Cricetulus griseus: one gene and its partner. The protein of the gene in region 2 binds, or shares a complex with, the protein of the main gene of each other region. Links are inferred from orthologs where the notes say so. Each region holds a gene or a part of one and is shown on either strand. Other genes may lie near its edges.

Region 1 (5,174 bases), on a different chromosome or scaffold from region 2:
CATGGTGGTTCCAGACTTGGAAAGATAGTAACCCAACAAGCTAACTAGGAAGACCACCTGAATTGGCAAGCCCTGCTAGGTCTGCACATGCACACACATTTAAAGAATGACATTAATCCTGATTGCAAATTCCAAACAAGGACCACTTATATCCCTGCAATATTTAATGCCCAAATATTTGAAAAACCTGTGTCAGGGTACTTGGGTTTTCCCATGTATGGGTGTTTTGCATACCAATGCACTACTTCGTGCCAGGTTACCTCAGAGACCAGAAGAGACAGCAACATTGGGGTTACAGATGGCTTTGAGTGACCATGTAGGATGCTGGGCATTGAACCTGGGTACTCTGGAAGAACAGCTAAGTGTTGAGCTGTGTATCTATCGCTCCAGTCCTTGTCCTTAGTCAGGTTAAATTCATTTGGATTACCAGAAGGTATCAACTAACAGGACTGATAACTATTGTGTATCCTAGATTGTGGGTCAAGAGCAACTGGGTTAACAATGCACATGACCAGCTAACAAGCAGCACCCTTTATGTTGCTTTCTCCAGCCTGTTCTGGGTACTTCTAAAAATGGCCTTAGAAATATCTGCGGCAGGCGTTGGTGGAGCACGCCTTTAGTCCCAGCACTTGGGAGGCAGAGGCAGGCAGATTTCTGCGAGTTCGAGGCCACCCTGGTCTCCAAAGGAGTGCCAGGATAGGCTCCAAAGCTACACAGAAAACCCTGTATCGAAACACCCCCCCAAAAAAGTAAATGACATAAAAAATAAAAAGAACGAAATAACATCTGCTTACTTTGAAATGACTGGTTTGATGGGCTACTTAATTTAAAGTTGGGTAAGATATGCTTGAGAGTAGTTTAGAGACTAAGATGAGGGTATTTTGTACATTTACAGACTTGGACCATTATTCTCTAAGTTTGTATACACACTAAAAACAGTGCACTCAGAAACACTGGAACCTGAGCAGACTTTACACAGAACACATTGTTTATTGTCAAAGTAACAAAATGTGTCCCAGGTGGACCTCAAATTAAAAATGGCCAACAACACCCAAACCCAGAGAAACTATGTCTGGAAAAACCAGGAAGAAAAGATGGGGGCAACAATCATTCCAATTTCCTAGTGTATTCACTTACATGAGAATGACTCACCTCATATGTTAAAATTTTCTTCCAAGGTAAGGGTTTTCTTCCATTTTCAGATTCTAAGAATGGAAACACAGCTCCTTTGTTTTTAATTTGCTTCACACCTATCTGTGACCTTCTAGGGTTTCTAGCATTTTTTATTCCAGGTGGTCTTCCTCTTGGTCTTAATTTTGGCTTGTATTTCCTTTTTTTCCGTTTCTTTTTCTTAAATCTTTCAAAAATAGCCTTTAAAGTCAAAAGCCTTGGTTCTATAGAGGAGTCACTTGATGTGTCAGTGTCAACATTTGCAGGTAAAGTGACACGTTTTGTCGTAGGGTTTCTTTGCTTTCGTGTAGGTGAAAGAACGTACTGTGTTTTAAATAAGCTATCAGATGAGTCATCGCTAAAAAAATAAAATAAAATAAACTGCATCACTGAGTCGTTACTAGAAACAATCCAATTCACGAGTGGCAAGGCTGTACCCTCAGGCAGCATGGTCATTAGTAACTCAAGTTTCATGGAGTTCAACACCCTCTTCTGAACACATGATACTGACTGTAGGCAAAGCACTCACTCATAAGTCACATAAGAGAAGACATTAAAAATTTAAGTGTACATTTCTTCCAAAGCCAGCTCCCCCAAAATCATACCCAACATTTTCAAATGGGTGTGGTGATAAGCCTTTAATTCCAGCTCTTGGGAGAAATAGGCAGGATCATCTTTGAATGAGGCCACCTACTGAGACCTGTCAATCTGAACAGTTAGACTCAACTCTAGGGTGTTTAGTCACAAAAGCTGCCTTACCTTTGATGTCCAATGTCTGCAGCTCTATCAGGTGTCATGCAGTCAACAGAAGTCACTTCTGATTGAGCCATTACTCGATCTCTGCAATTACAATTTCAGTGTGATGCACCTAGCATTCTAATGAAAAGTTCAACATACACCATACCACCATGTGACTTTAGGTAAAATCGACCTAAGGATAGTCCACTTTAGATCTTTAAAAACATCCAAGTGAGCCAGCTGTTGGTGGTGCACGCCTTTAATCCCAGCCATTTGGGAGGCAGAGGCAGGCAGACCTGTGAGTTCCAGGTTAGTTTCAGGACAGGCTCTAATTCAATATAGAAAAACCTTGTCTTAAAAAAAAAAATATCCACGTGAGGAGCACAGCAGTTAAAGTGTAACCTTCCACAGTTCAGTTCCCAGCACTCACATTGGGTAGCTCACAACTTCAACATGGCATGTTTCTGGCTTCCTGGATACCCACACATTCAATTCTAATCTACAAGTGAAAGCAAAGGAGAGACCACTTTCCAAATCAGTGTTTTCTAATTCTACTTAACAAAAGTACCTGAGTGGCTTTACTACCAGCCAGCCACACAGTGAAACAGCATTAATTCGGATGTTTACCCTAGGAAGGCTGAATTTTTAGCCACTCAGTGTGTATGCCTCAATTTCCCGAATGGCCAATGGGCCTGTAATCCCAACAATAGAACCTCTAGGGTGAGTCAGCTGAAGAGATGGCTTAGCTTTAAGAATACTGACTGCTCTTGAGTGGACAGATTAAATTCCCAGCACCCACAAGGCAGCTTTAAAGGGGCCGCAACTGGCCAGGTGGTGGTGCGCGCCTTTAACCCCAGGAGGTAGAGGCAGGCGGGGCCTCGAACTCAAGATCCGCCTTCCTCCTGAGTGCTGTAATTAAAGAAATGCACCACCACCTCCCGGGTTATTAACTTTTTTCCTTTAAAAGGGGACTTATTTTACGGATAGTGCATTGGTTTCACCCATACCAGAAATAGGAACCAGAGCCCATTACAAATGGTTGTGAACTACCACGTGGCTGCTAGGAATTGAACCCACGTCCCCTGATAGAGCAGCTGGTGCTCTTAGCTGTAGAGCCATTTCTCCATTCCCCATTGTTTTTTAGTATTAGCCCATCAAAATTGCAACGTAACATACTTGGCCCGTTTGCACCAACGATAGAGCGGAGAAAATTCTAAGGGTAATGGCCAAGTACACACGAGGAACCTATCTAGAAATCAGTCCTACCTGTGCGGTCTTCTCGACCTAGGAAGGCAGCACCAGCACAATGCCCCGACGGGACACTCTAAAACCTTCCGGCAGCGACCGATAGCGACCGGGAGCCACGCGTGGCCCGCTGCGCCTCACCCGACAACAGCGCCGACTGCGCGCGGACAGCCGCCCAAAGAGCCCGGGCCCGCGCGCGGTCTCCGAGTCCCGCACCGACCGATCGCGCCAGACCCGAGCGCCCAACGCAAACACACCCGTCTCCCTCCTCCACCGCGACCAAAAGAACGTTCCAGCTCGCAGCAGCCGACTAGGGCAGGCCGAGATCTCGCGTGAGCTCTTAGCGGCGGGTGGGTACGAGAGCGCGGCTACGTGCTAGGCGTGGCTATGTGCGTGGACTGTGGAGTGGGCGGGGCCTCCGCGAGAGGCGGTACCGGGCTCGCCCCTAGGCTTTGAGCTGGCGGAAGGGAGCAGGACGTTGAACTTGGGTAGGTGAAGGGAAGAAGGCATTCCTGCAGGCGTGAAGACACTGCGGGTCAGGTGAGCGTCCGCATGTTGTGGGGCCGAGCCCACTGTGTGCGGAGTTCCCCCTCAGAGGAAGGGTGCCAGGTGCTTTGGGCACCCCACCCTTCAGGAGTTAGCTTCCAGCAGGCATGGGCTTCCTCCTTCAGATCCTGAGTTGACTCAACAGTGTAGGGCTAAACAGTTTTTAGCCCTACAGTACTTTCTTTTCAGTAGTGAGCTGCTTTGAGTTATTTTCCATGCTGCACCTTTGTATTGTATGACAAGCAAGCCAGCAGATCTGCTTGCCCTTAGTCAACAGTTGTTATCATTTATGATTGGACACGCCTTAAAAGTAAGGTCTTGCTGTACTTGCAAGCAGCCAGTGCATTCGCTGTAAGCTCTAAGACAGGCATCTCAGACTGTCACATTCAGGACCAGTGCAAACTTAAATTGCAGGGTCCTGTTCAAAACGAAAGTGACAAATAGCTGAGAACTGTGGCAAATCGCAGAACTGGAGAGTCTGAAGGAGGATTGCCAGGCCAGCCTAGACTATGTTTTCCCCATAAGTAAGGAAAATTTAGAATTATTAATACAAGTTTTACCATCTTTATGTTGTGTACTGCCAGGCGGTGGTGACTCATGCCCTTAATCCCAGCACTGGGTGTAAGGATCAGGCATTATGCTGGCCTGCCTCTTCCTAATAAAACTTCATTTAAGCTGTCTGCCTGGAATGTTTGTCCCTTGGCCTCGGTCAACCTCGCCCGCCATGAAACCTGCCAAGGTTCACCTCACTCTTTATCCTAACACTCTGGAGGCAGAGGCAGGCGAATCTCTGTGAGTTGGAGGCCAGCACAAGCTACACAGAGAAACCCTGTCTCAAAAAACCAAAAATAAAAAAATAAAAAAACCTTAATGAGCTTCTAGGCCTTTAATCCCAGCACTTGGGAGGCAGAGGCAGGCAGATATCAATGAGTCAAGGCCAATCTGGTCTACAGAGTGAGTTCCAGGAAACTGTCTTGAAAAAAGAAAAGAACTTAATGAGCAGAATTGTTGTGGGGCGTTCACCAGAGAAGAGTGTTCAGACATAGGTTAAAAGCCAATAGAAAAACTTTATTAGCCAGCCAGCAACCAACTGAGTGTTCGGGATCCCAGTGTAGCCCTAAGCCTTTCTCAGGGTGAGCTTATAAGCACAAAAATCCTGTCATGATTTGACCCACTCCAGTTAACATAACATCTAACCAAGCAGAACTATAAAAGCTAAAAAGCAAGGTTAGTACATTTAGAAACTGCCTCAGAGCTATGGATTTGGATTAGGCTTTTGTTTTAGTTTTGGCAGGTGGAGTTTTACAGCCTTAATGGCACTTCCATCGTGGAGTCAGTCAGTTGTACTAAGGTCTTAGGGCCTACTAAGATCATAAGGCCCAGTTGCAGAATCACTGCAGTTTGGATTTCTGCTTACTAACTTGTATAAGTTATGTATTTGTTACTGTATCTGAAACAATGTACCAAATTAACTT
Region 2 (5,303 bases):
TGACACCTTAAGACTGTCAAGTCAGGTTTATAAGTACTGCAAGACAGTACACAGAACATATTTCATAGGGGACATCTAAGTTAGAAACATGATAAAGACTACAGTCCCTCAGCAGGGCATGGTGGTGCATGACTATCACTCCAGCAATCAGATGAAAAAGGCAGGAGGATTGCTGCAAGTTTGAGGCCAACCTGCTCTGTGTAGCAAATTCCAGGCTAGTCAAGGCTGATCAACAAGACCCTGTCCTGAGGAGGCCTGGAGGGGGAAGACTATAGCATAGACCTAATTAATGCACACTACAAACACCAGGATCTGCAGCCTTCAATACTCAAAGAGGTTGTGAAACCAGCAGTACTGGAATTATCTGAAAGCTAATTAGAAACAGAGAAAAGAAAGAGAGAAAGAAGGAGAGGAGAGAAAGATGGGAAGGAAAGGGATGGAGCCTCTCATGCCTCAGCTGGCTCTCTGAAGCAATCACTGCATTTAGTAAGAGCTACTAAGCTGCTTAGATCACAATTCCAGGCAACCAGCCCACAAAACTGGCACAGTATCTGTTCAAATAGCCTTTATCCACCTAAGAGAAGACTGCTCTCAGGCCAAGTTCCATCTACCTCTTTATGTTTAGAAGTACAGGACTTGAGATCAGACAGACCTGATTTGCTTCCTTATATCATTACTTAAGAGTTTAATTTCGCCACAGAGAAACCTGGGGGAGGGGGGGCGAGTTTAATTTCTTTGCAATTCAGTGTCCTCACATTTACTGAGGACTAAATTACTGGGAATATAAAACTAAATGAATTTTTCTTTTTAAATGGGAGCTAAATTCTTGGAGCCAAGAAATGCATGGAGAGTAATAAGAAAAGTGCAGGTTTAAGTGTATTTAAAGGTCTGACCCATGCAGCATTCCACCACGGCTTCTTCATATAGTCCTATAGACGTTAACCCACTAAAAGCATTGTCTGCATCTACATTAGATTAAAAATGAAGAAAGATGCCTTTTAAACCTATTACATCAATGCTATAAGGAACCATTTCCATTAAACTCAACAGAAATTTCCTTAACATTTCCTATGTATGTGCTCCTCAATGAGACCACATTTTCTTCATCTGTACGTCCCCAATATTCTGCCAATGCCAAATACAAGTGCTCAGTAAAGAGAACTATATTCATATATATAAATTTATACATGTGTAGTTCATAATATAGACTGTGTATTATTTTTTAAAAAGGGCCAGGCCATGGTGGTGCACGCCTTTAATCCCAGCACTCAGGAGGCAGAGGCAGGCAGATCTCTGTGAGTTCGAGACCAGCCTGGTCTACAAGAGCTAGTTCCAGGACAGCCTCCAAAGCCACAGAGAAACCCTGTGTTAAAAAACCAAAAGAATAAAATAAAATTTAAAAAAAAAAGCTACTTCTTCTAATTTCCTTTTTGTCTCCAGCTGTAAGAAAGAAAAGGGAAACCCCCATCTAATCTTATTACAATATTAGGCACCCTGATTCACACCTGTAACCCTAGCACCTGGAGACTAAGGCAAGAACAACCAGGAGTTCTAAACCAGCCTGAGCTACATGAAGTGAGTTCCAGGCAAGCCAGGGATAAACAGCAAGACCCTGTCTAACAACAATAACAACAACAGAAATTAAGGGGGAGGAAAAATGACCTGGCTTGGTCATTCACTTTGTAGCTGTGTTCAGTCTCGACACTTAGTTGCATTAAAGTGAAAGTGCTGTCCCACTTACCTACAGTCTCTATTCGCTCCTGAAGCCACGGGAAATGCATTCCTGGATTAGAGAACACAGAGGTTTCTCTCTTGCCATCCTCTGCCAAAGCAAGCTTTGTCAATTCTTCATCGAAATCGCTCATATCTATTCCAAACTGAGAGTATCAGTTAGCGTCAGTACACGTTAACCCACAGGCACCTGACTTGAGCTGAAAAGCAATCTTTTCTTGTAGCAAAGTCACCTGAGCAGCAGGGCCCATTGTATCTGACAGTTCTTTTCAAGGAAACACTGAATCTGTTTAAGTCAACAACAGCCTAAACTCAAGTCACATTTTTTAAAAATAGAAGTCTGGGGACTAGAGACGGCTCAGCAGTGAAGAGCACTTGCTGCTTTTCTAGAGGACCTGTGCTGGTTCCCAGCACCCATGTTCATGATCTTCTGGAACCCTAGTCCCAGGGCATACAACCACCTTCACAACAGAACATAGGCACACACATGCAGGCACACACCCACACATGTAAAATAAAAAGTTTCTAAAATCCATAAAACATAATACTGCAAAGCTCTGAACCAAGAACATACAAAAATGAGACATCCTTAATTACAAAGTAAAAAAGCTAAAGCTACATAAAGAAACTGAAGAATACATAACACAATATAGCAAGTACAGTAACAGCAGGAGCTAGTATTTACTGGGACTTAACTACATACTTAGACTATAAAATATCTAATTTAATCGCAGCAGCAACCCTATTCTCTCCCACTTAGTAATGAAAACTGTAGGACTTGCTGGGTGGTGGTGGCAGAGGAAGGAAGGAAGGAAGGAAGGAAGGAAGGAAGGAAGGAAGGAAGGAAGGAAGGCTGAAGGACTTATACAAAATACGTAACATGACCAAAAGGAGTGAAGACAGGAGTCTAGCAAATGCAGAGCACACAGACTAGCTGGTGTGACCAAAAAAATGGCTAGGAGGTGGGCAGGGGGCCATGGCAAATAAATGACTCTACAAAAGCAGCCATATGCCACTGACCTTGGATTGAACTGTCGAAAGGGTGCAGACCCCAGTTCTGAGTACCTATCCGGTATTGAAGCTTCGGGTACTGCGATTTAGAATTCCACCAAACGCCCCTCCTTTCTGCAATCCTACGGCGCCACCCTGGCTCCGGACACCTTCAGACTGGTCCAGGGTGAGTGCTCTGGCGCTGCTGGTGTGTGTGTGTGTGTGTGTGTGTGTGTTTTCCGCGACGCTGGAGACGGGCCCGGGTCTCGAGCCTGCTGACTGGCAGCAGCGTCTCCCTGCGGCGCGGGAGGCTGAGGGTGCGTGGTTAGTCACCGCGCCGCGGGGAGGGCGCAGGGCCAGCCCCGGGGTGCTGCTCCACCTCACCTGGGGGCGGCCGGCCCCGCGAGCGCGCACTAAGCCTTGTAGGAAAGCCGACTCCACCGTGGGGCGCCAAAGCCTGAAGCGACGCCTCAATTCAGTGAGGTCGGCCCCACGGACGCTGCGGACGCCTGACGCGAGCCCCGAGTCCTCAGACTGGCGGCGGCGGCGCCGCCACGGTAACCTAAACCTCCCGGCCCGCAACTGACGCTCCCAGAACCGCGGGGCGCTCACACAGCTCTCCCCGGCGCCACGCTCGCCCGATCGCACGCCGCGGGCTGTCAGGGAAAACCCTCTCCGGAAGTCCTCAGCGAGCGCTTCCTGTGAGCCTGCGCATAACCAGCCGGCCGGCGTTCGGGTAGCGCGCTGCGTAGCCCCGCCCTCCGTCGGGCGTGGCCTGGGGGGAGAGCCCAAGAGCCTCGCCAGAAGAGGCTTGACCCGGAAGTGGGTGTTAGCTTCCGCCTTCGCCTTGGTTTGGCCCTGATTACACCTTGATCTGTGCCAGCCAGAAACTGGAAGGTTCCCATCGCAAGACCGGAGTGTGGCCAGGGGGTGCATTGCCGATTCTGATTGCTGCTCTGAAAGTTATTTTCATTACAGTTTTTAGCATCTTGCTGCCTTCACAGTTGGAGCAAGAGTCCGTGTTTCGCTTATCAACGTGGAGTGTTCTGGCGATCGGCCTGGAGTCCGCTCTCAAGAGGGACATTGGCAGCCGTGTATTGATTATGGAGGTGGATAGTGGAATTGCAGTGTCGTATGAGAAGGGGGACGCTGCGAGGGAAGATGACCCTGAAGACTGGCCTGAGATGTTTGGAAAAATACTCTGTGAAGGACTGATCGGTTAATGGGCAGATTATTACACAGATGTGAACAAGCATTAATGAGTAAAAGCTAAAGGGAGGCAACCTTAAAGTCATTGGGAAAAAAACAATAGTTCATAGTTAAGGCTGCATAAATGATGCAATGGATTCCTCCTAAACTCCGAATTTACTGCTTGAAAATAAGAGTCTGAGTTCCATGGAAATTAGCCGGTCTATCATTACTCCTTGCCCTTAAGCCTGTTTTGGTTTGGTTTTGTTAGAACCCCGGAAAACCTCAGGCCTCCAGGGTCTCAGCCCAGGACTGTGGTCACCCTAATCACCAGGCAGATTCGAAAGCTTGCTGCAAACTGCACAAGGCTTTATTGTTTAACGAGCTCGGATAGCAAAGACAGCTCGAAGAGTCTGCATAGAGATCTTATAGGGCAGCAATAAGGGGAGTGTCTAGGGGTACACACAGGCTCAGGATTGGTGTGCCTCCAGGCTTGGAGGGCTTGCCCTGTGTTGATTGGCCAACTGGTTGTTATGGCCCATAGGCCCTCCCAGGGTGGTTGCCATGCTCTTCAAGCCATTGCTGTGCACTTGTCCATAAAGCACACCCAGAGCCGTAAAGCATAGCGCCACCAGCTAACTTCTGATTGGTTCCTTGCCACAGGCAGGCATCTGACTTTCTAGTGACTAGGACAAGGTCATGGCAAGCACGTGTTACTGTCATGTCTGCCGAAATGGGGAGCTGGTCCCTTCAGTTTGTTTGGGTATTTTTTTGGTGGGGGGGAGGTCAAGACAGGGTTTCTCTGTGTAGCTTTGGAGCCTGTCCTGGAACTAGATCTTGTAGACCAGGCTAGTCTTGGATTCACAGAGACCCACCTTCCTCTGCCTCCAGAATCCTGGGACTAAAGATGTGCTCCACCACCGCCTGCCTTAACCCTGCTATTTTTGTTGTTGCTGTTTTTGTTTTGCTTTATTTTGGATTTTCTGAGACGAAGTCTCTATATAGCCCGAGCTATTCTGGAACACACTATGTAGTTAAGGCTGACCTAGAACTCAATGATCAATAGATCTCATAGAGTTCTGCCTTTGTCTCCCAAGTGCTGGGGTTAAGGGTATATGCCACCCATGCCTTGCCTTTAAACCTGTACTTTAACTACAGGCAAAGCTAAATTAAATAATGATGTCACACACTAAGTGATTAGTTTGCCATCGGGAAGCTTGTTCATCAAAATGAATCAACTGATTTTGTTTGTTCATGCTCATAAAAATAGGCAAAAAAGTCATCCATGGTCGAACACACCTTTAATCCTAGCACTTAGGAAGCAGGGACAGGTGGATCTCTTAGTTTGAAGCAAGCCTGGTCTACAGAGTGAGTTCCAGGACACATCCAGAACT

Evidence for each region. The genes of interacting proteins can lie anywhere in the genome.
Region 1: Taf1a (region 2) and Taf1d share a complex: the UniProt entries of both Homo sapiens proteins name them as parts of the transcription factor SL1/TIF-IB complex. The link is inferred for Cricetulus griseus from reciprocal best matches to the Homo sapiens genes TAF1A and TAF1D.

Annotation. Positions count from the first base shown.
Region 1 is NC_048597.1:128,814,321-128,819,494, reverse strand, and holds the start of Taf1d (TATA box-binding protein-associated factor RNA polymerase I subunit D), read right to left. Parts: upstream 3,465-5,174; 5' UTR 3,175-3,464; intron 2,011-3,174; 5' UTR 2,001-2,010; coding exon 1,930-2,000; intron 1,529-1,929; coding exon 1,153-1,528; intron 1-1,152. UniProt on the Homo sapiens protein: Component of the transcription factor SL1/TIF-IB complex, which is involved in the assembly of the PIC (preinitiation complex) during RNA polymerase I-dependent transcription.
Region 2 is NC_048598.1:11,100,432-11,105,734, forward strand, and holds the start of Taf1a (TATA box-binding protein-associated factor RNA polymerase I subunit A), read right to left. Parts: upstream 3,411-5,303; 5' UTR 3,106-3,410; exon of another isoform or gene 2,752-3,105; intron 1,878-2,751; exon of another isoform or gene 1,868-1,877; 5' UTR 1,866-1,867; coding exon 1,742-1,865; intron 1-1,741. UniProt on the Homo sapiens protein: Component of the transcription factor SL1/TIF-IB complex, which is involved in the assembly of the PIC (pre-initiation complex) during RNA polymerase I-dependent transcription.